Mytilus edulis: one gene and its partner. The protein of the gene in region 2 binds, or shares a complex with, the protein of the main gene of each other region. Links are inferred from orthologs where the notes say so. Each region holds a gene or a part of one and is shown on either strand. Other genes may lie near its edges.

Evidence for each region.
Region 1: kinesin-like protein KIF11 (region 2) and histone H2A deubiquitinase MYSM1-like share a complex: the UniProt entries of both Homo sapiens proteins name them as parts of the large chromatin remodeling complex. The link is inferred for Mytilus edulis from reciprocal best matches to the Homo sapiens genes KIF11 and MYSM1.

What each region holds. Positions count from the first base shown.
Region 1 is NC_092344.1:113,160,936-113,178,358, forward strand, and holds the start of histone H2A deubiquitinase MYSM1-like, read right to left. Parts: upstream 7,499-17,423; 5' UTR 7,447-7,498; coding exon 7,394-7,446; intron 5,023-7,393; coding exon 4,932-5,022; intron 2,467-4,931; coding exon 2,293-2,466; intron 1,760-2,292; coding exon 1,661-1,759; intron 773-1,660; coding exon 1-772. UniProt on the Homo sapiens protein: Metalloprotease with deubiquitinase activity that plays important regulator roles in hematopoietic stem cell function, blood cell production and immune response.
Region 2 is NC_092347.1:26,019,952-26,037,579, reverse strand, and holds the start of kinesin-like protein KIF11, read left to right. Parts: upstream 1-7,945; 5' UTR 7,946-8,023; coding exon 8,024-8,082; intron 8,083-10,510; coding exon 10,511-10,738; intron 10,739-11,324; coding exon 11,325-11,466; intron 11,467-11,715; coding exon 11,716-11,835; intron 11,836-15,521; coding exon 15,522-15,646; intron 15,647-16,262; coding exon 16,263-16,353; intron 16,354-17,067; coding exon 17,068-17,213; intron 17,214-17,614; coding exon 17,615-17,628. UniProt on the Homo sapiens protein: Motor protein required for establishing a bipolar spindle and thus contributing to chromosome congression during mitosis. Required in non-mitotic cells for transport of secretory proteins from the Golgi complex to the cell surface.

The DNA of each region.
Region 1 (17,423 bases), on a different chromosome or scaffold from region 2:
TACTCTTTGATCTTACTTTAGCTGACTTGAGTAAACTTTCATAAACAGAATTAGGTGATGTTGACCTATTTTTAAGAATGACATTGTCGTCCATTTCATCGTCATCGTTTTCAATGTCAATGTCAATATCTTCTTCATCTTCCTGTCCGTCACCAGATCCACTAACAATGTCAGCTACAGCACAGAAACCATCTAGATTTTCAATGAGCCCTGTAGATTTCTCCAGCTTATGTTCTAATGTTGGACTCAACTGAACGCTGGGTATTGTCACAACTTCTAAAACATCATTTAAACCAATGCTTTCATTGCATGTGGATGTTATATCTCTAGAGGAAATAACCTTCACATTTTTAATTTTGACAAGAGGTGCTTGTTTGGAAACTTTTGGTGGCTTGGAATCAATAATCTCAGATTGGTGCTTTATAACAGTAGCATTATTAGATCTATTTTTCTTATTTTTATTGGCCTCAATCCTGTGTTTTTTCTTCATACTTTCATGTGTCTTTTCTTCCTTGTATCTACTTGTACTCGGGAGTGTTTCTGAAGTTAACATTTTTTCAAGTTCTGTCACTTTTGTTTCTGTCGTATTATTTTCTGTTTTTTCAAGTAAGGAATAATTTTGAGGATGAATGTGATTTTCTGTCTTAATAGTAAAGGTTGAAGCAGATACAGTTGGCTGTGCAGTAGTTACAGCTTTTAACATCTGTTCCAATGTAGAGGGATATGGCTTCTCGTCCGCACACTTTTCATCACCTTTATCCTGACATTTAGTCTGAAATATTATATCATATATATATGTACAATTTAAAACACCATTTAAACTAATTCAGCACTTACAATCTAAGCAAATTGCAATCATTACCAGAGTATGATTATTACAGCTCATCTTCTTTTTCATTTTTCATTAAATGCTAGACTTTAATGCTTGCAATTTTTGTCTGTGGTATACAATGACATTTAGCTAAGTTTCCTAGAAATAATAGTAAATTAAAAAAATAACACAAGACAATACAAAGTAACATGCAAGTCTAAACGACTCAAATTACCTTCATAAAATGACTGATTTGTGAGAACATTTTGTGCAAACATTTAGCATAAATTTCCTTAATTCATTTTGTTTGATTTGAAAACATTGCTCCTTAAGAATTTTGTGACAAGATGACCCTAACTTCAAGAAGAATACAATGAATGCTCTCTTCAACGATATAAAATTTATGACAGATCAAAAAATCTAAAATAATTTTTGTACGGAATCATGCCTTTTTCACTATCTATCTGAATAACTCTTTTCTGACCAATATATAGCTAGACAACAGTTGTGTTTATGTAAATCATTAAAGCTTTTAGATTTTGTCACTTTGTATTTGTTTGAATATGAATTTAGAAAAATAAGCAGTACAGACTAGTATGAAATTTCATCAGGAACCATATAAAAATAAAATCACAATACATAATATGACTTTTTAAAGCAAAGAATCATCAAACTGTTCAAACAGCCTCATTTGTGCAATTGAAGGAATGCTTCTCAGTTGTAGTAACCTGACAACAAATGATAAACAACCTAACCATAACCCAACATGTACAACATTGTAAGTATAACAGGATTAGAAGTCTGACAAAGGAGGGACTAAACATTTATTCTGATAAACTATAAACAAACCTGTTGTTTAAAATATTGTTGTGCAAAATTCTTCACTTGTAGATTTGTTCTGGTTTGAATTAACTCTGCAATTTTTGACCAGCTTCTACCATATACCTCCTACAAGAAAACATCAATGACTAAGATTATAATGTTAATTATGACTTAAAAATAAGGTAAACATATATAATTATATTTCATGTTGATCAATAAATAGTTAATTGAAATGTCTATTTACTGTCTTGCTTGTGCAGCCCTCATTTTAATGTTTTTTTATGTCACTGAAACTGGAAACATCAAGCCTTAGCCTCACTTTCACAACTTTCATTGCAAAAGAGACAAAAAAAACTATGTACAATGATATCTGACACAAAAATAGATAGTGGACAAGTACAATAGGTTGCAAACCAGCAAAACCGAATTAAGTGTTTACATATATCTTCCTGACATTTGAAAAAGGATGGATATTTAAGTCTCAGTAATTGTCAGATTTTTTTATGTCTCAGGTATAAAGCAAATACAAAATGATTAATTATAGTCTGTGTCTTATCCATTTTTCAAATTTCATTCTGAGGAAAACTTGACCCCTAAATATGACTATTGGTGTGTTAATCATGCTAATACTATGAGTATGATAAAATTGTATATCCTACCAATCCCTTATAAAACATGTTCTTTTCTTCTTCACTCCAGGGTTGCTTGTGAGTTGTCAAGTTTCTCATGTTACGCCTACGATTCTGACCATTCATATAATATTGTTCTTCCTGTAACATTTTCTCGATAGTCGCTTTAGACTTCTCATCAATGTAACTATCCATACTCCATCCCTACAATAATGTGTGTTTTCATTTACAGTGTTAATAATGTTTTAATGCAGTTATTTACACAGTAAATCATTGTATGATTTAAAATTCAGTTTTATTAGATAGGTTTTACTCTTTTTTTTTTTTTTTAATTTCTACAGTAGAGATAACAAAAAAGATGGATGTGTTTTTTAAAACATAACATTTATAACTATTAGAGTATTTCTATAAAAGCATGCAAATCAAACCATTGATCAAACATGTATATTTGTTTGGATGTTTGCAAACAACAGGTAGGCAGAGTTTCAGTCTGTATACTATATCCGTGAATTTAATTGGACAAAAAACATTAACAATCCCAATTTATATATCAAACAAATAAACTCTGCCTACTTAATTGATCTTAATTGTTTGCAAACATAGTAAAAAAACATAGTAAAAAAACAGCGAGCAAGTTAATCAAAGATTTGCTATGCATGCTTCTACAGAAAAGCTGTAATGATACAATGAATGTGCAATTACAAAATACATATAATAAGTCTCTTTACCTTTAGCTTTTGTTTATAATTCAAATCATTTATCAGAATATGTACAAATTGTTAACTTTTTAAATATTACATGACTTGGATGTAGAGTTGTTTCATTGGCACTCATACCACATCTTCTTTTTGTCGAGCCTTCGACTTTAGTCGAAAAAGCGAGACTAAGCGATCCTACATTCCGTCGTCGTCGGCGTCGTCGGCGGCGTCAACAAATATTCACTCTGTGGTTAAAGTTTTTGAAATTTTAATAACTTTCTTAAACTATACTGGATTTCTACCAAACTTTGACAGAAGCTTGTTTATGATCATAAGATAGTATCCAGAAGTAAATTTTGTAAAAACAAAATTCCATTTTTTCCGTATTTTACTATAAATGGACTTAGTTTTTTCTGCGGGGAAACATTACATTCACTCTGTGGTTAAAGTTTTTAGAATTTTAATAACTTTCTTAAACTCTCCTGGGTTTGTACCAAACTTGGACAGAAGCTTGTTTATGATCATAAGATAGTATCCAGAAGTAAATTTTGTAAATAAATAAATCCATTTTTTCCATATTTTACTTTTAAATGGACTTAGATTTTCTGCGGGGAACCATTACATTCACTCTGTGTTTAAAGTTTTTAAAATTTTAATAACTTTCTTAAACTATCCTGGATTTGTACCAAACTTGGACAGAAGCTTATTTATGATCATAAGATTGTATCCAGAAGTAAAGTTTGTAAAAAGATTACTCCGTTTTTTCTGTAATTTACTTTTAAATGGACTTAGATTTTCTTACAATCATAAAATAGTAACAAGAGGAATATTTTATTGATTTTTTTCCTCATTGTTGTTGAGTCTGCGATTTACAGCAAAAATAGGCGAGACACTGGGTTCCGCGGAACCCTTACAAATTTTTTATAAATACATGTACTAACTAATTCATTGTTTAAGTGCAACATATGATAATATTTGTGCGAAGAAAAATTACTTGAAACTTTACAAACTCTGTCTATGAATGTTTCAAAAAGTACCATTGTCAATGAATTACAACTTTCTTTTTTAAATTATCCTTATCCTATCATGAAATGTTAAAACAACTGATGTTTTGTACTAAAAGGTTCATCTCAATTTATATATATCTCACTTTGGTTCAGAAATTCCCAGATCTGCAGAGATATATTTCAAGACAATACATATTTACTGTGATGTGTACTCCTATTCTTATGAAATAAAAACCTGAATCCAATTCATAAGGGTCGGCAGGGAGTTCAAATTTATCAAAAAATTATATTTTATGTTTACACATGAATTTTACTTTCCTGAGTCTGTTGTTTTATTTTTATTTGAGTGTTTTAAGATGGAATATAACACTACAGGGAGATAACTCTGTAAAAACCAGCTGAATGTGTTAATCTACTTCTATCTATAGGCAATATTATTTAAGCTTCTCAGTGATCAAAATTAGTGTAAGCCAAACTGATACAATGTATACCGGTATATCCAATGAATTTTTTTTTGATGAAGTGTGTGATTCAAGTTTTTATTTTTTTTTATTCTCTTGTCAATGGGTCCAAGTAAATATTTTGTCAAATTTCATGAAAATTAAACAATCCAAATCATTTTTCGTCAAGGTGTTTGGTATCCCCTATTTTGACAATTTTAGCTATTGTGTCTGTTTTGTTTACGCATCGTTGTAAATATAATGAAATTTGGTGTGACTGTCATACAAGTGAGAGGTTTAGCGCTATAAAACCCGGTTCAATCTACCATTTTCTACATTCATTGACATTTGAAAATGCCTGTACCAAGTCAGGAATATGACAGTTGTCCAATTGTTTGATGTGTTTTATCATTTGATTTTGCCATTTGATTAGGAACTTTCTGTTTTGAATTTTCCTCAGAGTTCAGTTTTTTTGTGATTTTACTTTTTAAATACAACAACTTGTGCAGTCATATACTCTTTACCTGTTCAAGCATCCATGCTGGATTAGTGTACTCAGGTAGCAAATTAGCACTTTTGGATGGAAGTTCATTTGTATCGTAAACATCGTTTGCCCTGAAAATATACACCACAGATTACAGCAGAAATTCAACTATTTCATTTGTAAATATATGCATTGTAACACATGCATAACAAAAGACATAAACAAAAGCTACTATCTGACAAAAAAAATAATATATGTCTGATTAAGGTTACATCATAAAAAAAGGGTTGGTATTACTTGATTTATTTCACTTAGCAGGGTTAAACAAATAAGCTTATCATAGACCAGTCCATCTACAGACAGGTGTTTAGGATAAATTCATCAATGAAGTGTCCAGTCATACATGTAGTCATATACATTGATTCTGTTAAAATATGTAACCTTATATGTGTGTTTACAATGTAAATAATGAGACAAACACGTTGATTTTGTTGTTAAATTAAGTATAAAATCATGTTAAAAATGTCACATTTAAACAATTGTAAATATATAATGTAACTATGACGCTTACAAAAAAATGCATTTGTCGTTATTCTTCTATAATGTTCATATATACTTTTGATTCCTTTTATTTTAAATGAATTTTTTTTTAGGACAGGATAAAACTTTTTGTAGGATTTTTTAAAATTTTTATAAATTTGTAGATTTTAATCTATTTTATTTTTCCCATTTCACAAAATCAATTCTTTAGGCTATCAGTTTGGTGACTATGATCTGATGATAGGTGATAAGAAATCAGTAATTATGATTGTAATGGGAATCATCCTGATCACACACATCTTCAAATAAACAGTAGGAGTCCTTATGCAAATTAAAACTGTAAGCCCCGCCAATTGAAGAAAAACATTGTTAATACATCAGTATTTCTATCTTATTTTTCAATTCAATTTTACTGTTGTGTCTTGATTTCGAGTCCTGTGGTCCATCTTGCCATGGTACAAGTTGTTTATGGGTCAAGTTAACCCATATTTTTTATGATTGAATTATTTCCCTTGATTATTGTTCTTTTTTTATAGGGGAAGGGGGAGGACAAGAAAGAGTTTATTTCATTCCATCAGTCAGTTGCAAGTTTCATTAAACCAGCTGCCATATTTATGATTCTGAACATTCCCACATTGAGCAAATTTGATTTAATTTATTGGCAATCCTATATTCGCTTTTGACATCAAGTTCAGTTATTATTTTTTTTAAATAAATTTGTGACGGATACAAAATGACAGAATCGGTTCTCAAATTAGGGCCAGTTGGGTAATTGTTAACAAACATGTACTTTATTGGTCTTCCAAGTTTGAAACTATAACGTTCATACATAAATTTTTAATAAAGTACATGTGAGTTAGTTTACGAGAGTGAAAATTGTACATGCGAGAATTTAATATTTACTTTTATTATAGTCTGCTTACATGATTTATTAAATTTAAAAGATTGTAAATATTCTTTTAGAGATATACTGGATATACCACATGTAAAAACTACACAGTTTGGTAAGAAAAGTTTTAAATTTGCAATTACTACTCTGTCGAACAGCCTATCTGACCATTTTAGGACTGAAAACATTTTTTTCTTAATTTAAGAGCCTTATACAGTCTTGGAATGGTTCAAATTGTTGTTGTCCTGCATGTAGATAAGCTTTTTCATATTTTAAAAGTTGCTTTAACATGTAAGTATGCCTTAAATGTTTGCATGTGTGCTATATTTTTATTTGTGCTTAATTTTCAGTTGTACCTAAATTTTAGTTGTGCTTTGGCTTGTTTAGATATGTATTTTATTAGTGCTTTGCATGTATTTCAATATGCCTGTGCTGTTATATATCTTGTCTGCATATTGAATTTATGTTAATTTATATACGGTAAAAAGCTCTTCAGAGCTTATGTTTGTATTGTTACATGTGAACCGAATCAAAATAAAATTTCATATTTGTATAGAGACAATCCAGTGTCAACAGTGACACCTACAGAATACCATAAACTGGACTTGGAGGTAATCCGAATAATTATGATGTCTCGAAAGGCTTTTATATTTTTTTTCTTTGATGCCTTAAAGTCCCTGTAAGGGGTCAAAGCAATAAATTATGAAAGACTTTCAAAATGTCATAATTATTTGGACTAGCTTAGAGAATGCCGATTCTTTTAGGCCAGAGAGTTCAACTACAGGATTGATTTAGCAACTCGTCCATTTATATATCTGTTTACTGCGAAAAGTCAACTGCCAAAATATGCTGCCATTGAAAAAATGCACTTTTCAATATCTTTTACTTAATTTAGATTATGCTATTTTCTAAAAAGTACAGACTATACACATTTTGTTTTTCGCAAGAAGATGTCAGTTTTGTCAGTTGTCAGTTATGTTATGTAAATTAAAAAAAATATGGTTTGAGCAATTATTTGAAAAATTTATAGGACAATGCTTTATGTGTTTTTATATTGACAAAACGATGCTAACTCTAGTTTAAATTCAAAATCTCCTTCGATGTCGATTTCTCCGTCTTCTGCCATTATTATTTTGATGATTTGTTTCGAATAAAGATAATATATGAATAAAACTATAGTTAAAAATAATTATACACTTTTATGATAATAAATTGGAATATACATTATTATAGTAACTCTCCTTTTAATAATAAACTATTTCATACGAAACTTCGGCTACAAAAAGATTGCCGATTAATTAAACCAAAACAACAACACGTGCGTGCTATGTAAACTCAACTATACAGTAAGTATTGGACATTTACTGTTAAAATTATAGTTACAAACAACGAGATATTGACTTAAATCAAGATTTTGAGAGATACTCACGAACTCATTTGCTTTAATCACAACGAATGTATAAAGTATACTCAGAAAAGGGGGAGTCGTGCAGCTGTATCTCGACTTGATTCTTGTCAGTGTTGAGATATTCAGGTCTCAAGGGACCAAAACCTCTAGCTATGAACTCAATAATTTTTTTGACCAGTTTGAAATCATGCGATGCACAGATGTTTTTGTGGACCAAAGGCAAAGTAAGATGTAAAGAAATCAGAAACATGGAGCTTTAAAATGACATCCTTTAGTCACTAAAGCCTTTACTATTGGTAGCATATAAAAAAAAAGATGCAGATACAAATTACAATCATATCAATAATGGTTAATACCCAACAGTCCTAGTCAAAATAGTTATGACGTCTTCAAAGGCTATTATACGTTTTGCTTTGACGCCTTACAAAGTAACATCGGCCGCTGGAAGGTGTCAAAACAAAAAAAAACATAAATATAAAGCAATTGTTTTGAAAACAATTGTTAGGCAGTCTTTCCCCTCTGATGAATGGATAATTGGGTTTTTTTATTGATTGATTTGGAAAAAAAGGGGGGGGGGGGGTATTTGTTTGTTTGTTTGTTTTTGTAAAGGGTCTATATTATTATGTTACCGGAGAAGTTTCATGTTTAGTTTGGAAAGTTTTTCTTTTATTTTAGATACAGCGCTGCGCGCAATATTGAGGAGACATCACGTGACGCGGGTTTATATTAAGAAAAACTTAGTCTTTTAATTTCTTTTTAGGTCGGGACCTTGAACAGACAACATGTCTAGAGATGGAATGTACACAATGTAATTTCTTTTGTCATTGTAGGAAATTGACATTTTGATCACAGTTCACCAGCAGTGCATGTTTTGGATTTAATCGATCCGGTGTAACTTTAAAACACATTTAATGATTATTTTTTGATAATGTCCATTTTTCAGCACCTGTTTGTAACACAGATTAGTATTTCAATCTCGGAGCGGACATTTTATTGTAGGTTTTAACTGAGATTTACGGACCTAGCAAGCGATTTTTACGGCATTGCCATTTCTTTTTTCTAGGAAAAGTCTTGAGAGATATCTGCAACCAGTTTTTTTATGAACCTTCAATACATGTATGCCCTGCTGACAGTAAATTTTCAGGTCGATTGGACTTGTAGTTTCAGAGAATATGTGGATTTTTTTTTCAGAAGAGACGTAAGAACAATAATAAAATAAAAATTTTCTTGAATAATTGAGAGTTTGTTCCTTCAATATACTGTCATAAAGAAACAGTCATACATATTGATTGATTGATTAGTTGGTTGATTGATTGGTTGGTTGGTTGGTTTGTTGGTTGGTTGATTAAACACGTTTGATAGGGTCACTTAGAACAAGGGAAAAAAACCTCAAGAGACCTTGCATCCCGTATTAAACGCATGACACGGAAACATACATTAAGTGATTGATTGGTTGGTTGGTTGGTTAAACACGTTAGTTAAACATGTTGATTGAATACGTTGGTTAAACACGTTGGCTGGTTAAACACGTTGGAAAGGCTCAATTTAAACAAGCGAAAAAAAACATCTTGGATCCCGTATTTAACAAATGAAACGGAAACATGCATTGATTGGTTGATTGGTTGGTTGGTTGGTTAAACACGTTGGTTAAACATGTTGGTTAAACACGTTGGTTAAACACGTTGGCTGGTTAAACACGTTTGATAGGCTCAATTTAAACAAGCGAAAAAAAACCATCTTGGATCCCGTATTTAACACATGAAACGGAAACATGCATTGATTTATTGGTTGGTTGGTTGGTTGATTAAACACGTTGGTTAAACATGCTGGTTAAACACGTAGTTTAAACACGTTTGATAGGCTCAATTTTAACAAGCGGAAAAAAAACATCTTGGATCCCGTATTTAACACATGAAATGGAAACATGCATTGATTGATTGATTGGTTGGTTGGTTGGTTGGTTAAACACGTTGGTTAAACACGTTGGTTAAACACGTTGGCTGGTTAAACACGTTAGATAGGCTCAATTTAAACGAGCGAAAAAAAACATCTTGGATCCCAAATTTAACACATGAAACGGAAACATGCATTGATTGATTGATTGATTGGTTGGTTGGTTGGTTGGTTGGTTGTTTGGTTGGTTGGTTGGTTGGTTGGTTGGTTAAACACGTTGGTTAAACATGTTGGTTAAACATGTTGGTTAAACACGTTTGATAGGCTCAATTAAAACAAGCGGAAAAAAAGAAACCTTGAATCCCGTATCAAACACATGAAACGGAAACATTGATTGATTGATTGATTGATTGATTGATTGATTGATTGATTGATTGATTGATTGATTGATTGGTTGGTTGGTTGGTTGGTTGGTTGAAATTCAAACACTCATAAAACTGTTTAAATAGTGCCAAAACCACATGATTTGATGACCTTGACCTTTGACCTTGTGACCTTCGTCAAGGTCATTGCTCCACAAGGTCATTGCAAAAGACCCTATGGGTCAAGGACCTTTTGTTTAAGAGTTTTGCCTAAAAATGGCTTTTTAAAAACCATCGATGGGAGTAATGTCCCTTATATGATGGTAAAATCAATATAGTCATAATGTAAAAAAGTTGCCCCTTAAAGTACCAAGCATTTTTCACTGCTTAATTTTTTTGTATCTATAACCGTTCAAGAATTATAGGGAAATGAAAAACTTATAAAAATCTAAAATATGACCTTGACCTTTGACCTTGACCTAATTTTCTAAGTTAGGACCCAGGGGACTCAAATAAAAACATTCCAGGGTTATACGGTTAACGGTTTAGGACTTTAAAAAACATACCGACAAATTTATTCCGTAAAGGTAGATAACTCCTATAAAATTTCATCAAATCGCTTCGATCCAAATACGCCAAAAATTTCTGAGGATGTAACGAACAGTTTGGAAAAAGAATTTTGTCGCTTTCTTATTTTGTTACGAAGGAGATGCACACAGAGGATAAACAGTGAAAGGGGAGATAACTCTTACATAGAAAATGGTTCGCCTTAGCAGGGTGAAATTTAAAAGCGCATAAACTATACGATACCATATGAGAAATATCTAAGCGACATATTGCGAAACAAACATTTTGCGCAAGAACAAAATTTGGCGGAAGAAAAAAATAATAATAATAATTAAAAACCAATTGTTCAGAGAACAATTGAAAGTCTTTCCACACCAAAGTAATTTGGATAAGAAGGTAGTTTCTTTATACTGATGCGAAAAATGATGGTTTAATTATCTTTTTGAGTGATATAAGGGAAATAATATGCTACTTCCGGTGAAATGAATGTCACATCCGGTCTCATATGATAGCTTCTTTCACACTGATTCCAAAAATATAGTTTCTCTATACTTTTGTATGTAGAATGGGAGATAATTGGCCACTTCCGGTTTGTTGGAAGTTATTTTTAGTCTTCAGTAATCTGTTCATGTATCTATATGACAAATAATATGGATTCTGAGTACTTTTATGTGAAAAAATTGCAAAAATAGCTACTTCTGGTTTCCTAAAGGTCACTTCCGGTAGTCATTTTTCAAGGTCATTTGTCACTTAACTTTTTGTATAAGGTCAAATGTCTTTATAATGAACTTAATTGAAGTTATAATCAAATAACTTCATATCAAGACATTTCAGGGGCACCAACTCCTATAAGATGCCATTTAATTGTATAAGACTAAATGTAGCATATCTTCATTACAATAAAGCTGATATTTTGAACTTGTTCTTTTATATGTATCTCTCAAAGTGTCGGAGAAAATGCAAAAACAAGCAAAAGTCACAATTGAGAACTTGACCTTGACCTTTGACCTTGACCTCATTTTCTAAGTTAGGACCTAGGGGACTCAAATAAAAACATTCCAGGGTTATACGGTTAACTGTTTATGAGTTAAATAAACTTACCGACAAATTTATTTTGTAAAGGTAGATAACTCCTATAAAATTTCATCGAATCGCTTCGATCCAAATACGCCAAAAATTACTGAGGATGTAACAAACAAGTTGTAAAAAGAATTTTGTCGCTATCTTTTTTTGTTACGGAGGAGATGCACACAGAGGATAAACAGTGAAATGGGAGATAACTCTTACATAGAAAATGGTTCGCCTTAGCAGGGTGAAATTTAAAAGCGCATAAACTATACGATACCATATGAGAAATATCTAAGCGACATATTGCGAAACAAACATTTATCGCAAGAAAAAAATTTGGCGGAAGAAAAAAAAAAAAATAATAATAATAATAATTAAAAACCAATTGTTCAGAGAACAATTGAAAGTCTTTCCACATCAAAGAAATTTTGATAAGATAGATTCTTCATACTGATGCGATAAATGAATGGTTTGATTATATTTTTGAGTGATATAAGAGAGATACTATTCTACTTCCGGTGAAATGAATGTCACTTCCACTCATATGAAAGCTTCTTTCACACTGATTCCAAAAATATATAGTTTCTATATACTTTTGTATGTAGAAGGGGAGATAATTGGCCACTTCCGGTTTGTTGGAAGTCATTTTTAGTCTTCAGTAATGAGTTTATGTATCTATATGACAAAATACAAGGATTCTGAGTATTTTGATATGAGAAAATTGCAAAAAAGGCTACTTCCGGTTTTCTCAAGGTCACTTCCGGTAGTCATTTTTCAAGGTCATTTGTCACCTAACCTTTTGTACAAGGTCAAATGCCTTTATAATGAACTTAGTTGAAGTTATAATGAAATAACCTCATATCAAGACATTTCAGGGGCACCAACTCCTATAAGATGCCATTATATTGTATAAGTCTAAATGTAGCATATCTTCATTTCAATAAAGCAGACATTTTGCACTTGTTCTTTTATATGTATCTTTCAAAGTGTCAGAGAAAATGCAAAAACAAGCAAAAGTCACAATTGAGAACTTGACCTTGACCTTTGACCTTGACCTTATTTTCTAAGTTAGTACCTAGGGGACTCATATAAAAACATTCCAGGGTTGTACGGTTAATGGTTTATAAGTTAAAAATACATTCCGACAAATTTATTTTGTAAAGGTAGATAACTCCTATAAAATTTCATCAAATCGCTTCGATCCAAATTAGCCAAAAATTCCTAAGGATGTAACGAACAATTTGTAAAAGGAATTTTGTCGATATCTTTTTTTGTTACGACGGAGATGCACACAAATGATAAACAGTAAATAGGGAGATAACTCTTACAAAGAAAATTGTTCGTCTTCACAGGGTGAGATTTAAAACCGTATAAACTATACAATACAATATACAAAATATCTAAGCGACATATTGCGAAACAAAAATTTCAGAATGTGGCGGAAAAAAAAAATAATAATAATAATCAGAAGAAATACAATAAGTCTTTTCACAAAAAAGTGAAAAGACTTAATAATAATAATCAGAACAAATACAATAGGACTTTCCACAGAAAAGTGGAAAGACCTAATAATATGGAAAAAACTGGAGTTGTCGTTCGTTTTACGTTGATAGAATAGATAGCACACAACCTACATGCAGTTGTAAGTGGAGGGTTAAAAAAAAAAAGGGGGGGGACAAAAGGGGGTCTCGGGAATTTTTTTTTTTTTTTTTTATTAACGGAACAGAATGGTTAAAAAGGTTTTTTACAATATAAATCAATTGCTTTAAAAAAGCAATTGTAGGCGGTCTTTCCCCCCTTTAAAATTAATTGAATTGGGGTGGGGGGGGGGTTGTTTGTTTGTTTGTTTGATTGTTTGTTTGTTTGTTTGTTTCTGTATGGGGTCTATATTATTGTTACCGGAGAAGTTTCATGTTTAGTTTGGAAAGTTTTTATTTTATTTTAGGTACAGCGCGCGCGCCAGATTTAGGAGACATCACGTGACTTGGGTTTATAATAACGAAAACTTAGTCTTTTTATTTCTCTTTAGGTCGGGACGTTAAACAGACAACATGTTTAGAGATGGAACGCACACAATGTAATTTCTTTTGTCATTGTAGGAAATTGACATTTTGATGACAGTTCACAAGCAGTGCATGTTTTGGATTTAATTGATCCGGTGTAACTTTAAAACACATTTATTGATTATTTTCTGATAATGTACATTTTTCAGCACCTGTTTGTAACACAGATTAGTATTTCAATCTCAGAGCGGACATTTTATTGTAGGTTTTTACTGAGATTTACGGACCTAGCAAGCGATTTTTACGGCATTGCCATTTCTTTTCTCTAGGAAAAGCTGGGAAAGATATCTGCACCAAGTTTTTTTATAAACTTTTAGTACATGTATGCCCTGCTGACTGCAAATTTTGAGGTCGATTGTACTTGTAGTTTCAGAGAACATGTGGATTTTTTTTTCAGAAGTGACGTAAGAACAATATTAAATTTCATTTTTTCTTGAATAAATAAGAGTTTGCTCCTTCAATAAACTCATGAATAAACAGTCATACAGATTGATTGATTGATTGATTGATTGATTGATTAATTGATTAGTTGATTGATTAGTTGGTGAGTTGGTTGGTTGGTTAAACACGATGGATAGGGTCAATTGAAACACGGAATAAGACACAAAGAAGATCTTGGACCCTATATTAAACACATGAGACGGAAACATGATTGGTTGATCATGATCATGATTGATTGATTGATTGATTGATTGGTTGATTGATTGATTGATTGATTGATTAGTTGGTTGGTTGGTTGGTTGGTTGGTTGGTTGGTTAAACACGATGGATAGGGTCAATTGAAACAGCGAAAAAGAAACAAAGAATATCTTGAACCCTATAATAAACACATGAGACGGAAACATGATTGATTGATTGATCATGATCATGATCATTATTGGTTGATTGATCATGATCATGATTGATTGATTGATTGGTTGGTTGGCAAACACACATTATATTCTTCAAGTAGTGCCCCAAATCACATATGTACATGACCTTGACCTTTGACCTTGTGACCTTTGTCAAGGTCATTGCTTCACAATGTCATTGCAAAAGACCCTATGGGTCAAGGACCTTTTGTTTAAGAGTTTTGCCTAATAATGGCTTTTTATAAACCATCAATGGGGGTTATGTCCCTTACATAATGGTAAAACCAATACAATCATAAAGTAACAAAGTTGCCCCTTGAAGTACTCAACATTTTTCACTGCTTAAATTTTCTGTATCTATAACCATTCAAGAATTATAGGGAAATCAAAGACATATGAAAATCTAAAATATGACCTTGACCTTTGACCTTGACCTAATTTTCTTAGTTAGGAATCAGGGGACTCAAATAAAAACATTCCAGGGTTATACGGTTAACGGTTTATGAGTTAAAAAAATATAGCGACAAATTTATTCCGTAAAGGTAGATAACTCCTATAAAATTTCATCGAATCGCTTCGATCCAAATACGCCAAAAATTACTGAGGATGTAACGAACAATTTGTGAAAAGAATTTTGGCGCTATCTTTTTTTGTTACGAAGGAGATGCACACACATGATAAACAGTGAATAGGGAGATCACTCTCACAAAGAAAATGGTTCGGCTTAGCAGGGTGAAATTTAAAAGCGCATAAACTATACGATACCATATGAGAAATATCTAAGCGACATATTGCGAAACAAACATTTATCGCAAGAAAAAAATTTTGCGGAAGAAAAAAAAAAAAAAAATAATAATAATAATAATAATTAAAAACCAATTGTTCAGAGAACAATTGAAAGTCTTTCCACATCAAAGAAATTTTGATAAGGAGATTCATTCTGATGCGATAAATAATGGTTTAATTATATTTTTGAGTGATATAAGGGAGGTAATATGCTATTTTCGGTGAAATGAATGTCACTTCCGGTCTCATATGAAAGCTTCTTTCACACTGATTCCAAAAATAAATAGTTTCTATATACTTTTGTATGTAGAATGGGAGATAATTGGCCACTTCCGTTTGTTGGAAGTCATTTTTAGTCTTCAGTAATCAGTTTATGTATCTATATGACGAAATTCATGGATTCTGAGTATTTTGATATGAGAAAATTGCGAAAAAGGCTACTACCGGTTTTCTCAAGGTCACTTCCGGTAGTCATTTTTCAAGGTCATTTGTCACCTAACCTTTTGTACAAGGTCAAATGCCTTTAGAATGAACTTAGTTGAAGTTATAATGAAATAACCTCATATCAAGACCTTTAAGGGGCACCAACTCCTATAAGATGCCATTAAATTGTATAAGTCTAAATATAGCATATCTTCATTACAATAAAGCAGACATTTTGCACTTGTTCTTTTATATGTATCTTTCAAAGTGTCAGAGAAAATGCGAAAACAAGCAAAAGTCACAATTGAGAACTTGACCTTGACCTTTGACCTTGACCTCATTTTCTAAGTTAGTACCTAGGGGACTCATATAAAAACATTCCAGGGTTGTACGGTTAATGATTTATAAGTTAAAAAAACATTCCGACAAATTTATTGTTTAAAGGTATATAACTCCTATAAAATTTCATCAAATCGCTTCGATCCAAATTAGCCAAAAATTCCTAAGGATGTAACGAACAATTAAGAAAAAGAATTTTGTCGATATCCTTTTTTGTTACGAAGGAGATGCACACAAATGATAAACAGTGAATAGGGAGATAACTCTTACAAAGAAAATTGTTCGTCTTAGCAGGGTGAGATTTAAAACCGTATAAACTATACGATACAATATACAAAATATCTAAGCGACATATTGCGAAACAAAAATTTCAGAATGTGGCGGAAAAAAAAAATAATAATAATTAAAAACCAATTGTTCAGAGAACAATTGAAGGTCTTTCCATCAAAACAATGTATTTTGATATGAAAAGTTGTGAAACTAAGTTTGAAATGTCATTTCAATCGTCAAATGATAGCTCCTAGTAAGCTGATTCCAAAAATATATTGTTTCCATACATTTTTTTTAAATAAGGGAGATAATTTGTTACTTCCGGTTTGAAAAATGTTACTTTCGATTATATTTGAATATTTACTTGACACTGATTCCAAAAATATCTGGTTCTATATACTTTTATATTAATAAAGTACAAAAAAATAGCTATTTCCGGTTTACAAAAGGTCACTTCCGGTTGTTTTTTACAAGGTTAAATGGTTTGATACCTTTTTCTAAAAGTTGTATATCTTTATCATGTATACATATAGAATAAAAGCAAAGGTCAAAATCTAGAACGTCAAATTAAGCTATGACCTTGAGATCAATTTCAAGGTCATAAACCAAGGACCTCAAATCAAAAGACCATAGGTCTTTATTATATTTAGTTAATGAGTTATATCACCAAACGCGTATTTTTAAATACAAGAGGGGAGAAAACTCCCTTTTACATTCAACGTACGCTTGCAATCAAAATTTACATCTTACGACATGTCGCAACTAACAATTTAGTAAAAATAATTTGTTGATATCTTATACAGTCTTTGGATATAAGTGAAAATAAGCCAAATTCAAATATTAGAATATGACCTTGACCTTTGACCTTGACCTAATTTTCATTTTTTGGGACCAAGGACCTCAAATCAAAAGATCCTAGGTCTCTATCACTTATGATTTATAAGATAGAAATTCATATCATTCATATCAGATGCATAAGGGGAAATAACTCTCATATGGAGCGGTCATATCGCTTCGGTCAAAATAGGACAAATCATGCGAAGGATATAACGAGCAATTTTGTAAAATAAATT
Region 2 (17,628 bases):
CACAAGCAACGAAAATAACATACAATACTGTAAACCATTGACCAACAAACATGTTTTCAAAAAGAAAAAAAACATTTCAAATTTAAGAAACATCTGTGACTCTGATATTGCTTTTCTACCTCAAGAATAGATTACCTTAGCTGTATTTGCCAAACTTTTAGGAATTTTTGGTCCTCAATGTTCTTCAACTTTGTACTTTATTTGGCTTTTTTTATCTTTTTTTATTCGAGAGATACTGATGAGTCTTTTGAAGACGAAGCGCGCGTCTGAAGCATATACAAAATTTCAATTATGGTATCTATGATGAGTTTAACTAAACTAAAAGTAAGAACATCAAATCTTATTTGGAGGAAAATAACCTTTCAAACACAAATTTAAAAAATGATACACGATGGGAGATACAGTTCCCTCAGACATCAGGTCTGTAAGATTCCTATAATTTAGGACAACTATATTAAATTTATATAAAAAAAAAAGTAAAAAAAGTAATATAGCGTAGACATGAAAAGAGGGAATATCTAAATTAAAACAATGGACAGATAATTTCCTCCAAAATTTCACACAGTAGCTTCTTAATAGGAAGAAAAAGAAGGGTATTAACATTAATCTTTAACCTCTCTTTCCACTATATAGATGATCTCTAACCTAATAATTTAAAGTTTGGTGACTAACGGTTGAATGTATCTATCCAATCCAACTTGAGATAAAGGATATAACAGATACAGTTAAATTTACCTCAAATCTTGACTTAAATCTAGAAATTGACAAAAAGGGTCGATTGAAAACAAAACTTTACAACAAAAGAAGATGATTTAAGCTTTCCAATTGTTAACTTTACATTCCTATGTTGTAATATTTCAGCAGATCCTGCATACTGACTATATATCTCTCAGTTGATAATATGTGTTACGGCTTGTATTTCCTATCGTAATTTACTTGATAGAGGTTAACTGGTCACAACCAATGAAACGATCTATCCAAGATTTTTAAGTTGAGAAGTTGAAATCATTCCTTCGAAAATTTTATGGACGCCATCACGATTTGTTCGACCGTTCTTGAATATCTGTTTTAACAAATACGATGGATATGTTCCAATTGTTGTTACCACAATCCTGTCCACTTTTCCCCATAGATTGTTATCTTCCAAACAAGACTTATCGTCGGGTTTGTGAGTATAAATCCCGAATGACGCAAGCCAGTGCTTTCGACTAGGATTGTCAGTTTCCATCTAAGGTCTGTTATTTTCTCTGATCATCCCCTTGTCCTCCACCGATTCAATTTTCTACAAGTCTCGAAACTGAAAAAACAAGAGGCTGTCTTGAACGAATGACTGCTGTAAAACTAAGAAATTGTTGTTTATCTCCTTGTGTAGACTGGTTCGCCTGTCTAGATCAATGTGCATATTACATATTTCATATATCAACAAGGTGATTATATATAGCGGGATCCCAGTCTATCTCCTTGTGATACATAAATTCGCATATAAGTAGACATAAGTCCGTTGTGCTTAGGATGTCAAATAAATTTAAAAAAAAAAAGTGTCGGAGTATGTTTTAATAAATCTACACGATAAGTTCCCACATTGTAAATATGATTAGAGACATTTATGTTAAGGTCAAGTTACAGCAAATGAGCTATTTCACAGATTTCAGTAAAAAAAATATACAACTTTGGCTCGTTGATCTACAACTGAAAATCGAAAAAATAATGGATTTATCTCATTTATCATTTGAAATATTACTAATTGAATTATTTAAAAATGGGCCGGGTAAACATTCGATGAATGCATTATTTTTTTTCGATTTTCAGTTGTAGTTCAACGAGCCAAAGCTGTATGCAGAATTTTAGCAAAATCTGTGACACACTAGTAGCCCATTTACTATTCCTTGACCTTCAGCTGAATTTATAAATTTCAATTGAAACTAGCTGCCACGAAAATGTTAACACACCGTAGATCTTCCAGTACTAAAATTAAATAACAATATGAACGTCACACATTATATTTCTGTGATTGTATCTTACGATTCTTTACGACAGATGATAAAGCAAATCTGAAATCAAGTATATTTCCATGCCTTATCCGGTATATCATGCACTGTGTTATAACTCTAGATTCTACTGACGCGAAAGGGTAACACTAGGCCACCGAAATCTGAGTTTTAGTGCAGTCTACATGGCCAGGTGGACTGGTCCAGATACTAGATTGCTGGACACAGTTCATGCTATGTTGTCCCGATATACCAATAGTATGAGTTCGAATCCCGACGAGGAAAGAACTAAAATGTGTTTCAGCAAATTAGAATGAATGATCACTGTTAAACTTAGTAGACATGCTTTAGCTTATTGTGATGCATAAATTCGCATATAAATAGAATTGTGTACGTTGTGCTGGGAATGTCATATTAAATAAAATATGTCTGGGCATGTTTAAGACTGCACGAACAAGAGCCCTTATTGTAAATATGATTTAAGACATTAATGTTATAAGCTAAACTTATAAACTTCAATTCAAACTAGATGCCACGAATGGGTTAGCACACTGCAGAACTTTCTTTTCATTTGATAAGGGACTTGCCGTTTTGCATTTTCCTCGGAGTTCGTTATTTTTTTGTGATTTTACTTTTCTGGAAAAGGTAATGGGACAATCGCCTTTAGTTATCATAATGATATACTAGTACTCCGTAAATGTTTCTCCCTTCTTTCTTTTTCCATACACCGTGAAGTTTACTCCTTTATAATTGAATCATTCTATGTGTTCTTTTTTGGTAATGCTCTTGTCGATTTCCTTGTGTTTACATCGGATCCCTCATACTCATGATTTGTCGGTGTCTGCTTTTGGTTTGTTTGACTATATATTCGATTGGTGTCTTGTTTATTCCCCATCTAGTGATCTAGTTCACTCCGTAAATTTATAGACACCATCAAGAATTGGTTGATCTATACGATGTTTCTGTGTCTAACATATATAACTAAAGACATTTTACGACGTCTTAGATAGTTATACAGAGAGTGAATTTACATTGCTATACGACGTGTCTCGTTGTTTTATACATCCAACATTCATGTATTTATTTTTGATGTTTCTGTTATGCCTTCTGTTGTATAATGTGTTATGTCTTATCGTTTGTAGTCCAAATACTTATAAATCTGCCTTTCAGTGTCATCATTGTCATGAAAACTGTTTGGAAAAATATTGTGAAAATAATAGTATAAAATTCAAGATAGCATGTAAGTTACGTAAACGCGTCACTGGTTCTGATACCCTGTGGTGTCTGTCGTTGGTGGAATATGTTCATTGTTGTTCTGTGGTTAGCATGTTGTCACGGTCGACTTTTATATTATTTGTTGATTTTCTGTGCCGAATGCTGTGCTAGCCATTAAACCTGGTGCAACTCCCTATTATTTCGTAAAATGTCCTATACTAGATCAGGAATATGGCAGTTCCCTCTACTAATGTTAGTGTTTGTTTTTGTTGCACTTCGGTGTTCCTGTGTTTCCTCTTATAAGTTGATGTGCTTCCCTCGGTTTTAGTTTGTGACCTGGATTGGTTTTCTCTCAATCGATTTCAGAACACCGGTAAACTCTAGGGTAAACTACTCTTGCCTTCATTCAAGTATAATATCTGTACTTCAGGTTTGTTTGTTATTAATTATTATGAAAATATTCATTATTATCATTATTAATATCATTAACTTTTTAAAAGTGCATATTTCACAGACGACAAAAGTCCAATCAAATCTTTGCTTAGCGTATATGAACAGAAAAACATCACGGTACCGTACAAGACATTTATTGACTCACCAGATAGCCCTTCCGTGAGGAAGAAAGAATTCCAAACATCTTTATTTAACAATTATCACCTTTTTGTGTCAAATTAAACGTGTAATTCTCACTGCATGATATCGACCAGTATTATTTAATCAGAACTTGTCAATCTTTGAAAGATTAGGTTTATATTGTATGCGACATTACCGAATACTGATAAATTATTTCATTAATCATTGAAGAAAAGAAGGTCTCAGTGTCAGAGAGTTGCACGGGTTTGACTGGCATCTCACTGCCGTTTCATTCTGTGATTCTCTCCATTGTATCAAATCATTGATTTTTGTTGCTGAAATATGCTAATAAGTGTAAAAGACGTTTATATTCAGTTCATACTCTGTGCTGCAGTCATTTCCATTAAAACCAGTCAGTATCTGACGTATTCACTCAGCTGCACTATTTCAGAGAAAACAATTTTCTAATGAGAAGTTGTTGCTTTAATCATGCAATAAACGTATTAACGGATTTAGAACTATTTAAATGAAGTCCTGATTCAAGCTTGTCGATGGCCTATCTGTTTAAAAAGCAAATTTTCAATATGGCGATTTAAAAGAACTTCAATTAGTTTAATTGAAGAGTGGAGCTGGTATGTCAGTAACTGCTAGTAGTTCTTTGTTAATTTATGTTGATCATTGTCATTTTACTTAGTTTCTTCTGATACCTTTTCTTACATCGGAATCGGACTTCTTTTAAACTGAGTTAACTGTGAATTTTTCTGTCAGTTTGTTTTTATTCTACATTGGCTAGAGGTATACTTAGAGGTTTGAGGCCTCATCAACCGTGTTGGCGGATATTCGTTCAACAGTTTCAAAAAAGAAGATTTTTTTTTAAAGCCGTAGCGGCCATGTTTTCGGAGGAAACAAAAAGTAAATCATTTTTTTCTAGATAACCCAAGAATCATTCACCTTAATTCAAAAAAGATGATATGGTATGATTGCCAATGAGACAACTCTCCACAAGAGACCAAAATGACACAGATATTTTAACAACTATATGTCACCGTACGGCCTTCGACAATGAGCAAAGCCCAAACCGCATATTCAGCTATGAAAGGCCCCGAAATGACAATGTAAAACTTTGGTGTAAATTGGTTTAGTAGTTTCAGAGGAAAAGTTTTTTTAACGTTAGAAAACATGATAAACAAATTGTGTAAAATTGTCCTTAAAGAACAATAAGTCCTAGAGGGGTTAATTGATCATATTAACTTATTTGTAGATCTTACTTTGATGAACAGTTTTGCTGTTACAATTTATCTTAATCTATAAGAATATTCAAGGTAATAACAGGAAACTGCAAAATTTCCTTATAATTACCAATTTAGGGGCAGCAATGGTTGGGATGATGCCACTAAATTGGTAGTTGGGTTGTTAGGTTCATCTAAAAATTTCAGGGCTCATAGAATTTGGCCTTACGAACATTTTTCCCGTCAGATTTGCTCTAAATGCTTAGATATAAACCAAAAACTGCATTTTACCCTATTTTCTATATTTAGCTTCGGCGGCCATATTTTTTTGTACGAAACTGACAACAAAACACAAACTTTATTCTAGATATTCTAAAGATCATTCAGCTTAAGTTTGGTTGGAATTTGTACAGTTGTTTCAGAGGAGAAGATGTTTGAAATAGTTTACACCGCTCGGACGTCCGGACGACAACAGACGACAAAAGCTCACTTTTCCTTTGGAAAGATGAGCTAGAAAGCTTATGGATAGTAGTTTAGTAACTAAAATAAGCTAACAAAAAAAGCAGAAGCACTGTCATGAAACAGAACAAATTTTGACAAGGTGAAAACAATGCAAAAAAAGCCTCAACAGAAAAACTAGTTTTGCAGGCAAACATCGGCATGATAAGCCAGACCAAGTATTTGCCAATTTCTTTATATCATTTACGCATCACAGTTTACAGCTCATTCAAGAGTATGTTTAAAACCTGCATACCTTAATATTAAACTATGTAGGCCGTATATATGCAGTTGTTCTCACATGTGGAAGGTCTGGTGTTTCTGATTTATAAAAGAGTATAAAAGAATTTCGTACATATTCGCTTAATGTGGGTTTCTTTACCAGGAGTATGCTCCTTGTACTCGATTTGCAAGATCAAGCATGAAATCAGGCATTTTGATTGGTTGGTTTTGGAGTATGAGAACAAAAAACAGACTCGAAAGTTTTATGACTTCAAGGTCTGAACTACTGACGTTATGCTGCTATCAATGATAAATTACTTCTATAATTGATAGAGGAAAGGACATGATTTTTATCTGTCCACTACAATAATGTTTCGACAAAAGATACTAGACGAACAATACTAAAGTCTCAAATGAGTCTTTATTGGTCGCCAGACTTGATGACAAATGCATTTATATGACAAGCCGATTTGTAATATCATTTTATTTTTTTTTAATATATCAAATCAAATTACATGATATTCCCTGTCTGTTTAGTGAAGAATGATCATACCTTTCAAATCAAATTATTTCATATCCCCTTCCTGTTTGATGAAGAATGGGCATGCAGGTGTCCATTCACTATTCTGCATGCCAAAGAACGTAAACAATCGCCAGACGTCTGTGGTTCTACGATTTAAACCTGCTGACACATTTTGCGTACAACAAACAACAAATACGATACAAAAAAAAATGTGGAATGATTGGCAATGGGACGAATTTCCACCACAGACCAAATGAGTTTATGTTACCATCTAGAGATCTTTGTACGGCCTTCAACAATGAGCAAACCGATATCTTAGAGTAAACTATAAAGGTCCTGACATGGAAATGGATAATTAACATAGAAAACGTAAAAGCTTCTTTTTTTTTATCGAAACCTTTAGTATTAAGCTTCCTGTTTAAAATTTAGATATCAAAATACAGGACAGGACAGTTTCCATTGTTAGTATATATCAGCTTTATTCAAATTCAGTCCAGCAGGAAGACCGTAACTTGACCTATAATGGTTTACTTTTATAAATTGTGAATTGGATGGAGAGTTGTCTCATTGGCACTCATACCACATGTTCCTATAGCAATATACAATATAAAGGATATGAAGAAGTTAGAATAATGTATACTATGCCGAAATATGAAAAGTACCGTAAGCAATCACTACACGATAAGTGCAGCCCCCAGTCCCCGTTTAGAACTTTTAATTGGTTTAAATTGCATTTCACGGTTCTTCGCTTAAACTCTTGTGTAGTTTTCAACTATATTTCTATATCTGAAGGAATTTTTTATTTTATATTAATCAAATCATGTAAAATTAAAATATGATGGACACTATTTGTGGTTGATATTAAAAGTTTATTTAGTTATTGGCCCTAATCTCCTGACTTTAAGGGTGGAAATTTTGCCAGCGGGCTGTGTGTAAAACATCTTCAGATGAGCCAAGTTTCAAAATCCTCATAAACAAATACCAATGATCATCAATGCTCTCTCTTGGATTTTTACATCTTAATTGTGTTTTTTTCCACTTCAAACTTGCCAGGTAGCTGGGCAATGATTCAGAGAAAAAAAAAGAGAAAAAAAGTTAATAATCAAATCTATGGCGAAAAGTCTGTTCAGATATCTACCAATACAATTTAGAACATTAAGTTGATAGAGGCCTTCTTACAAATCTCACTATTTTTTGTCAAAATATTATCTGTATTCTATAGTGTTATCAAGGATTTGTATAGTAATCATTGGTCGGTTATAAAGGGGCATAAGTTAATTAACACAAAGTTATAAAGGAATGTTTGTAACGTTTATTTTTCGCTAAAAAAAAGAGCAAGAAAGTAAGTACGGTCACCCATTTTTTTCTTTTAATTTCTAAAAGCAATTCATAAGGATTGATGGCTTATCTTCACATTTAATATTTCAAGATTAGACCACTTATATTTTTTCAGATTTTTTTCTAATCTTACATTTTTTTATTTTTCTTTACCTCGTGTATCTTCTAAACAAGCTCGGTAAAATATGAATCTAACTAACTGTAAGTGTTTAACGACCTTGAATAGCTATACAGTAATATGAATCTGAAAATAGCACAATTTTGTTATACCCCATACATTCCGGAAATATTGTCCGTGTTTGTAATAATTTATTATTTTAAAATAATATAAGTATCAACCAATCAAAAATTTGGTTGCGTTCTTTTAAGCCCCTATTTCTCATTGGTTGTTTCGAAAGCCCACCATATTCGAATGTTTATTGTTTTCCTGTTTAAAAATGAAGCCTAAAACTGAAAAAGATAAGAATCAACACATACAAGTTGCAGTTCGTTGCAGGTAAAACTTTTTTATTTTACAAAAGAGTGAGAACTCAACCGATTGCCAAATTGCCCGGAACCAACTCGCCCAAAACTCAGGCTCTCAGCTTTTCACACATGAATACAGAATACAGAATGAATCTTTGTGAGTCCTGTTAGTGCAATTACTGTGGAGGGGTCTTTTAAGGGACAACATATGCTATGGACGTACAGGTGACCCTAGTCCGAGATTACTCTGACGTCCAACGGCTGTTTTGCCAGACAAACTGGGGCTGTGGCGACCCCAGCTTGTCTGGCAAAACAGCAGTTGTACCTCTTCTTCTTCTTCCGAATACGGGAGTAGACTCCTAGGTTGGAGTGTAAAACTTCCCAGAACTTGTGTGCTATGTACATATGGACTTAATTTAAAAATAATATGACAAAGAAAAATCGTTTACAATAACATATACATACATAATTTATGTACAGTGGCTTTGTAGTTTAATAAGTTGTTGTTGATCCTTCAAATGTTAGAGTGGATATGCCACTTTTGAAGGATTCCAGGTTGTCAACATACCTATTGCTTCAGGTAGTGAATTCCAGTCGGAAATAGTGCGGGGATAGAATGAAAATTTATAGAAATCTTTATTTGTTGATATTTGCCTAAATTTATGTTTCCCACAAGTACATGTACGTCCATCAGATATTGTTAAATTGTCCTTAGGAACTTCAACTAACACCCAATTTATTTTATACATCATAGTTTTTTTCCTTCTTATTTCTAAATTTTCCCATTCCAAAGATTTAATTAAATTTGAAACTGCTCCAGGTGATCTGTCTTTATAATCATTGAAGACAAACCTGGCTGCCTAACGCTGTACCTGCTCAACCTGAGTGATGTGTTGTTTTTTGTACGGATCCCAGACATGGGAAGAGTATTCGACGACTGGACGGACAAGTGATGTGTATGTAAGGTTTCAAACCTTACGTGTGCAGTTTTTCAAGTTCCTACGAAGAAAACCTAATGTTTTATTTGCCTTACAGGTAATATTGTTTATATGTGTTCCCCAATCAAGATCATGGCTTATAGTTACGCCTAAATATTTACTGTCTTTTACTGCTTCTAAAACATGATTGTGCAATATATAATCAAAAGAGGAAGGTTTACTTTTTTTACTTACCTCAGAGTAATCTCGGACTAAGGTTTCCCGAGCTTTAATAGAATTTTAATAGGGTTACTCTGGATTTGTGCCTTGCTACCAATGCTGCTGCGCTTCAGTGCAGGAGTGAATAATATCCTGCTGACCTAGATAACCTGTGTTCATTATTCTCTAGTTTTTCCATTACTTTCAATAGATATAAATAAACAATCGATAATCATTTGAAAACTGGTCAAATGTTTTATATTATAAGTAATCGAAATTTAGGTTTGCTATGTCAACTCCAACAAGATAGAGGTCTTTGCCTGGATCAGTGTAAAAAAGAAATAGATAACTACAAATCTTTATGTCAAGCAGATTTGAATGAGATTTTCAATTTTTACGACAAAGTTCACTTTGCAATGAATCTTCTTGCACATCATGTACAATCAACTTTTGGATTTCTTCTACTAAGTGGTCTGTACAATGTTTGGAAGCATGCTTAGTGTAAGCCTCCCAACAAAATCAAAATTTAGACTGTTATGAGTCTGAGGTATTGATAAAGGCTTAAAAAACACCTTGTGTAGATTATAACCATGAATTGAAAAAATAATGTATATATTTATTAACTCTTATTATGCTTATTGGTGTTTTGAATACGCAAACATGTTGTACATTTACATTTGTGACTTGAAAATGTCTGCTAAAATATCTCCCCCTCAGCTGTCATAGCTGGGAGAGAGACCTCCCTCTTGGAAGGTTTCAAAATTTTTCCTGAACAAGAAAAAAATAAAATTAATGAAGCTAAATGATTCAGTGCCACAATAAAAATATAAAATTATGAAACATTTGTTTGTGTTAATACATATAATTTTGCTGAATGTAAATCAACGTGATATACACTGATGCAAAGCCAGAACTTATCTACAGACTCCATCTACCTTTGTTATCAACAAGTTTTTTAAAGGTAAACTGTTTTTTCTATTGGAAAAGTTGATAAACGGTCAACCAGCTCAGGCAGCTGTGTTGCTTTCTTCTTTCTATAAAAATAACATACAATATTTGCTACGGTTCCTGAGATTTCAATTATGAAAACTATGAGGTCATTTTTTGCTGCAGCAAATGTTATAATAATTCCAGTCAGGCAAACATGTGTAAATTAAATTTTTGCAGGGAAATCTGGCAAAAAAAAATATAATTCACTTTCAGGAGTGATTGAAAGACTTTTTTAAGTGTTAAGATTTTTTTGTGAAAAGACCAACAATTTCTAAGAAATCTTCAGTTTTGTAATTCATTTGTAATTTACATTTATTTTTTATCTATTTTCAGGGGTATAAACTCTTCAGAAAAAAGGCAAGGCTCCTATTCAGTTGTTGATTCCAATGGAGACAAGAAGGAGATAACAGTTAAAGAACGCTTAGGAATCAATCCAACTACAAAGACCTACAATTTTGACCATGTCTTCCCACCAGCAGCCTCTCAGCTTCATGTTTATACCAGCATTGTTATACCTATTATTGAAGAAGTGTTACTGGGATATAACTGTACTATATTTGCGTATGTTTGAACAATAATCTGGCTGTTAATTAACAAGAATGTATATTTATGTATGCAAAGAATGAGTAATTTTTCCAAAGGAACCATTGATGATAATAACCTTCATTGGTACTATTTTACGAACCCTCTTGGATTAGTTTTTCATTATCTTAAAAATCAGCTGAAGAGGTCAAAATGAAATAAGAGAACCATTTATGATATTGATATTATTTATAAAGTCAATTAATGCTTCATTGTAATTATTATAAGCATTGGCACTTTTCACTTCCATGAAGATTATGTGGTCCTACACCTTCATGACCTTCAGTCATGATTCATTTTCTTTGAATGTTTACATATTGCCATTTTAATTTCAACATTTTGCATTATACTAATTAATATACAATAAGGGATCTATCTGTGTCTACAGTTTATTAAATTGAAATTGCACATGTTTAAGTTATATGAACAATTTTGAGAACATATATATGGAGTTTAAACAAGCATTGGAAAATGTGATTTGTCTTGCACAAACAGTAATGATCAGTCAGCAGTCTCATCTAAAAAACATTTTTCATTATTAAGATCTTTTGCTTCTCACCTTCAGATATGGACAAACAGGTACAGGAAAGACATATACAATGGAAGGAGAGAGAAGTGATGACCCCAGTGTATCCTGGCAAGAAGACCCATTGGCTGGTATCATACCTAGAGCTATGTTTCATATCTTTGAGAGACTTCAGAGACAGGTAAAAGCGATAACTAAGTGTAGAAAACTTTCAACTGCTGACGATACTTGTGTTTGGTTTTAATGTTCCCAAATTTATGAAATACATTGCAACAAAATTTGTTTTTAAATCACAAGTAAAAGTAGAAATGAATTTATTTTTAAAAAATCTGCTTTGCTAAACTAGTTGTTAACATGACTATTTCCAGTTTTAGTTCTCTATCTAAGCTATTAATTTATTTATTTCTTACTTAATTTGTTTGTTTTGAAGGATGTTGAGTTTTCCATCCGTGTGTCTTTTCTGGAATTGTACAATGAAGAATTGTTTGATCTGTTAGGATCTACAGACGACCCACTTAGACTCAAAATATATGAAGACAGTTCTAGAAAGGTTTGTTGTTTGAAGAAATTATGTTTTTGAAATTTTTTGTCTTATTTTGTGCTTACAACTGACACAAGATGAAATTGCACAGTGTTTTAAGGGAAAATCAAGAATCCTAGTGCTCTGGGTTTGTTTCTTCAGAATGGTAACAGTATATCTTTGACACAAGATATATTTTTGTTTGGAAATTTTCACAAATGTAGTTCAATGTACAAAGGTGGCCCTCCAAACATTTTTTTCACTGGATTAAACGATATATATATAATACAAGATATTTTAAAGTAAAATTAAGTTTAACAGCATTGTCAGATTATTTCCTTTCAATTGACTGAAGGATGATTATAAAGAAAATAAATACTTGAAAAATGAAATTATGGTTTTTGACCATGCTATAAATATTAACCCTTTCGCCGATGAGTCCCGTTTTACTGGGATTGTAATACCTCTTTTATATTTCCGGCTAAAAACAGTGCAAACATGAGTTATCTTTCTTTGTTGAATACCTGGATGAAAGTGTTAACATGGCGCTTTCGTTGTTGAAAACCGTGTCAAAATCAGAGGAAATTTAAGGAATTTACGAGAATTTGAAATGAGGGAACATTTTTTTTTAAAGAATATGGAAGACTTGAAGTCAAACTAGTATACTTTTTTGACATAAAATGTTGTTTCTTGTACAAAACACTTGGAATGGACATCGTTCAGTGTAAGGAATTTGTACAGCCTCATTAAGTTTTTCAATATTTTGCCGTTTTGGGTAAAAAAAAATACGATTTGGGGCCAAAGAGCAGAATTTTAAGAACTTCACCTAGATAATGCTGAAAATTTGAATATTTTGTGAAGAAAAAATTATCAAAACATGAACAAAACTGTGAACATGGTGTTAGTGAATGAAATAAAGACACAAATAACTACAGACAAGTTTTTATTGACATTTATTATGAAGATCTCCAACTTGAGTAATAGTAGCCAGGGAAGCCACCGTCTCAGAGTAGCTTCTGTCTGAGCAGCTATCAGTGAAAGGGTTAAAACAACTCAGAGCCTTCCCAGATTCATTTTAACATTTTAATTTAGTAATAAAGGGTGAAACATTGTAATCATTGTTGACTTCTGATTTGTGTTCTCGTCCAGTATCTTTTGATTACACAGATGTTTATTATCTAGAGTAAATCCAGGGCTCACGCTACCAGGCGACTTGGGCGAAGAAGTCGCCTTCCCGACCGTCACTTCGCTTTCCCCGACCCCCAAAAGCGAAAAACAAGTCGCCCTGTCCATGACGATACTCGCTTTCAGTCGCTTCCGTCATCAGACATTTTCAATTTTTACCAAGCTGATGAAACATCAGTTTTTTATTGATAATTAAAGAAATTCAGACATACACGATTCATTATCTTTAGAAAAGAAGTTGAAGCATTGTCTTCGCAGTGTGTAGCAGTTTATTTGATAAAAATACAACTTTTTATCACTTCATGCATTTCTGCAAGTTCTGGTGCTTGTTACTCGAAAACGTACATCAACCTGAATTTCGGCGTCAAAATAAGTTTATTTAAACGTGATAAAAGTTGCCTCCAGTAAATTTTTAATCCATTTATTGCATTAAAAACTTCATGTTCCTTTCCAAATAACTTGTCAAACATCGTTTATTTTTGTAAATTTTCTTGCATTCGTCCGCCATTGACCGATTTCTAAACTACGGATCTGAACCGGGGCAGCTATGACCGAAATCCGTACTTTTGCAATAATTACTACGGACGAACGGATGGAACAGCTGACAGAAGAATATTGATCCCAGAGGGAAAAATTACGCATTCAACACGCATAAAGAGACTTTTGGTTACATCTACATGATCTAATTGATTGGTGTATATAATTCCATATATTTTTTATGGATTGTTTCAAACTATTGATTAAAGTTGCTTAACTCTGAGACTATCATACTAATATCAATATATTATGGCCCAGCTTAATAACTTTTATATTTTTTTATTAGAAACACTGAATTTCATACACAAGATATTTTAAATTAAAATGTAATTGATATATAATAATTTCTTTACATTTTTTATTTTTTTTATTATTTTTTTTAGTGCTAGATATATAGTTGGTAGCAGGGTTTCCGCTGGCGGTCGCCATTTTCGCAATTTAAAAAAAAAATTGTGGCGATAAAAATTCGTCATTTGCGAAAGAATTTGGCGAAAGAAATATATATAGAACGATTTGTTTACCTCCATCTTGTTAATTTACTTTTTTCGAGTTTCTCGGACTGTACCCGATCAGACAATACTCGGAATTCACCTTGACCTCATTAAGATTTGGACAGAAAATCAATAATCAGCTGATTGCATTTTATAGCTATCGACATCAAAGGACTAATTAATAAAGGTGTTGATTGAATTGTTTGTCAAAATGATATAGTTAAGTGGCTTCCGCTAAATGTCACATACAGAATTTATTTACCACTTTGCGACGCACGTGTTTGAAGCAAACTTTTGACGTCTCCTCTCCTTTTAAAGATAGTTTAGAAAAGAAAGCTGTTGTTGTGACGAAAAAATCAAAAGCAAGAAAAATCTCCGATTTAAAACTTTAATTATCCTTTGACTTTAATATAGGTAATTGATTAGGGAGACTACTTTAAAGTCGTTTGAGTGACACGTGTGTTTCAAGCATAGTTTTACGTCTCAACTTTTTCATTTACGATGGTCAAGAAAAGAAAACTGTCATTATAAAGAAATCTACCCAAAAGTTTGGGAACAACCCCTCGAATGAGAGTAGCCCTTCAATGTTATGAATACACATCAAATGAGGGATCAAAATATCATGTGATAAAAGCTTTTGTTTTGTTGTAAAAACCACTTATTAGTACAAAAGGGCACATCAATATTTTTCTTTTAAAGAAACTTTCCCTACGAACTATACTGGTATTATATAATCAAAAAATGTCCATTAATTTTGTTGTATTCCAGGACTTATATCTTCTTTATTATTAAAAGTATAGTGGCCCCCTCATTTAGAAAAGTTGTTTAAAATACAATGAATATTTTTCCCTTTTATGTTAAAAACAAAATCTGTTGTTTTAAAGTAAATGTTTAGTGTTTATTCATTAAATGTAGACTCTTAAATAAGTTTGACAGAATAAGCATAGACACAATGGGGCAAAAAGGGGGTGTAAGTAAAAAGGTAAATTTTAAACGAAAAATATAGTTATGTTACCTGGCGAAAAAAATAATAAAGTGGCGATAAATATATTGTTTTGGCGAAAGAGGTGGCGAAAAAAATAATTGACCAGGGGAAACCCTGGTTGGTAGTTTTTCACAAGAACTTTAGTAAAACTTTAACAACTTTTAATTTCAAATGTAACTTTAATTGTAATTTTTTTACTTAGATATGAATTGAACAATATAAAAAGAACATTATTTACATATATTGCCCTTTATACTATTGTAAAATCCAAACATTGCAGCGCACCGCACGAATGAGCACTTCTCTTTCAAATCTCACCACTTCTCCCTATCAGTTTCAAAAAGAGAAATCACTTCTCCCTATAATTCTGAAGTAGTGTGAGCCCTGAAATCCCAATTTCACCACCCATGATAAGTAAACCTTGTGCCATTTGTATATGAAAAAAATCTCTATTATCAAATACAAAAAAATGATGGAGTAAATTTTTATGTTAATTACTATTTACTGACATATTTTAGGGATCAGTTATCATTAATGGATTAGAAGAAGTGGTTGTAAGATCTAAAGATGAAGTTTTTCAAATAATAGAAAGAGGATCTGCCAAAAGACAAACGGCTGCTACACTGATGAATGCTCATTCAAGGTGAGATAACTGAAAATCTTGATAAAATTACTAAAATGGGTGAATATTTAATCCTCCCTTAAAAATCATCTCTTGAACTGTTTCCTAACTTCCTCTTTTCATTTCTCCTACCCACATCCCCTTTCTGCTCAAAAACGTTTTTTTGTATGAAAATTATATATTTCATTGTTCCAGTCACAGGGTTTTCACTTTAAATGATTTAATTAATTCAATGTGGGAATTTTTAAAGAGAGTTTACTCAAAGACCACATTTTTGAAGCACATTCTAATTGTGTGCAATAAAATGTTCAAATAGCATTAATGAACAAATGTAGAACAAAGAAATATCTTATCTTGTCTGTCTTTCTTCACTCATAAAATTCTAAATGGTTCATGCATTGAGAAGCTTCAAGAAATGTTTTGTTATTTCACCTATAAGGTCAAACAAATGACCGCTGTTCCAGAGATGAGCATACTAACACAAGACCACAGATCATTCAATATTTAGAGAAAAACATTATTTGTTTGATGAAAGTGTGTCAAATTATAGATGGAATTAATTAAAAGATTAAAACAAAATCTTAAAACACAATAATGACACTATAGTCAGTATATCAAATAATATTTCTATTTACAGTCGTTCACATACAGTCTTCTCAGTTACTATACACATTAAAGAAAACACGGTTGAAGGAGAAGAATTATTAAAGATAGGAAAGCTGAATTTAGTAAGTACTGCTCAGTATATTTCTTGTCTGATTAGGAATAAGTTTTTGTTCAATCAGCTTTTCAAATACTGATATGTTAAGCAACCAATAGTCAATCAATCATTTTCAATATCCTTATTTAGCCTATTGTTACGCTGTTTTAAACTGCAGAATAATGACATCTGTAGAAATCTCAAATTTCTCTAAATCAATAGAATGATTTTCTTAAGGTACCATTATCTTTGTTTGACAAACCATTTTTCAAACTCCATGTATAATCCCCCCACCCTTCATTTTCAGTGGAAACATGCTTTGTCTCATCTCAAACCCATTTTTTCTTGGGAAACACATTTGCATTTAAACAATTTATCAGCCTCCCTCTTCCATTATCATTGTTAACTCGAGATTCAGAAGGTTTTATATGCCATTGGTTACCCTTTACCTTGATTATTTCAGTTTCTCAGTTAATGTAAGCTAATGTAAACTATATTTGGTTTATTGGTAGAGGTTTATATTAGGTTAGACCAGGTTAGTCATAATTGTGACCTGGAATATCCAGTTTTATTCAGCCTAGAATATTCTCAGGACAAATAGTTTCCGTCGGGATTGATCCATCTTTATTGGTAGATTAAAATTTGTCTTCTTTTTCCCCCAAAAAAAGCTTTCAACTATTAAATTGTCATCAATAGATCATAGCTTTTGTCCTTTGACACATAATAAAAAAATATTTTTAAGGTGGATTTGGCTGGTAGTGAAAACATTGGTCGATCAGGAGCTGTAGACAAGCGGGCTAGAGAAGCAGGCAGTATTAACCAAAGTTTGTTAACATTAGGGCGTGTGATTACCTCACTTGTAGAACGTTCTCCTCATATACCTTACAGGTTAGTCTAAATGTTCTTTTATTTTTTTTTAATTTCAGGACAATTTCTAAACTTTTTGGCTTTTAAAAGGTAATTGAAAAATTTCAGACACATAAATTGATTTGTTTTAACTATTGCTCTAAAGTTATGATTTTGTCAATATTATATGACATTTTTGTGTTCTGATAATCTGTTTCAGGTAACTTTTTTTGTTGTTTTATATACATTATTATATTATCAGCACAGTTTCTATGCATTTATAGGTATCGGGAAGGTAGTAAGAACTACTACTTCTATATGTTACTTAAATAATAGAAACCTTACTTTACTTTTATATGTAAAAAATAGTCTTGATGATTAAATATGGGACAAGTGTTATGTTTATTTTATTATATTACTTATTTATTGACTATTTACTCCAGAGAAAGTAAGCTGA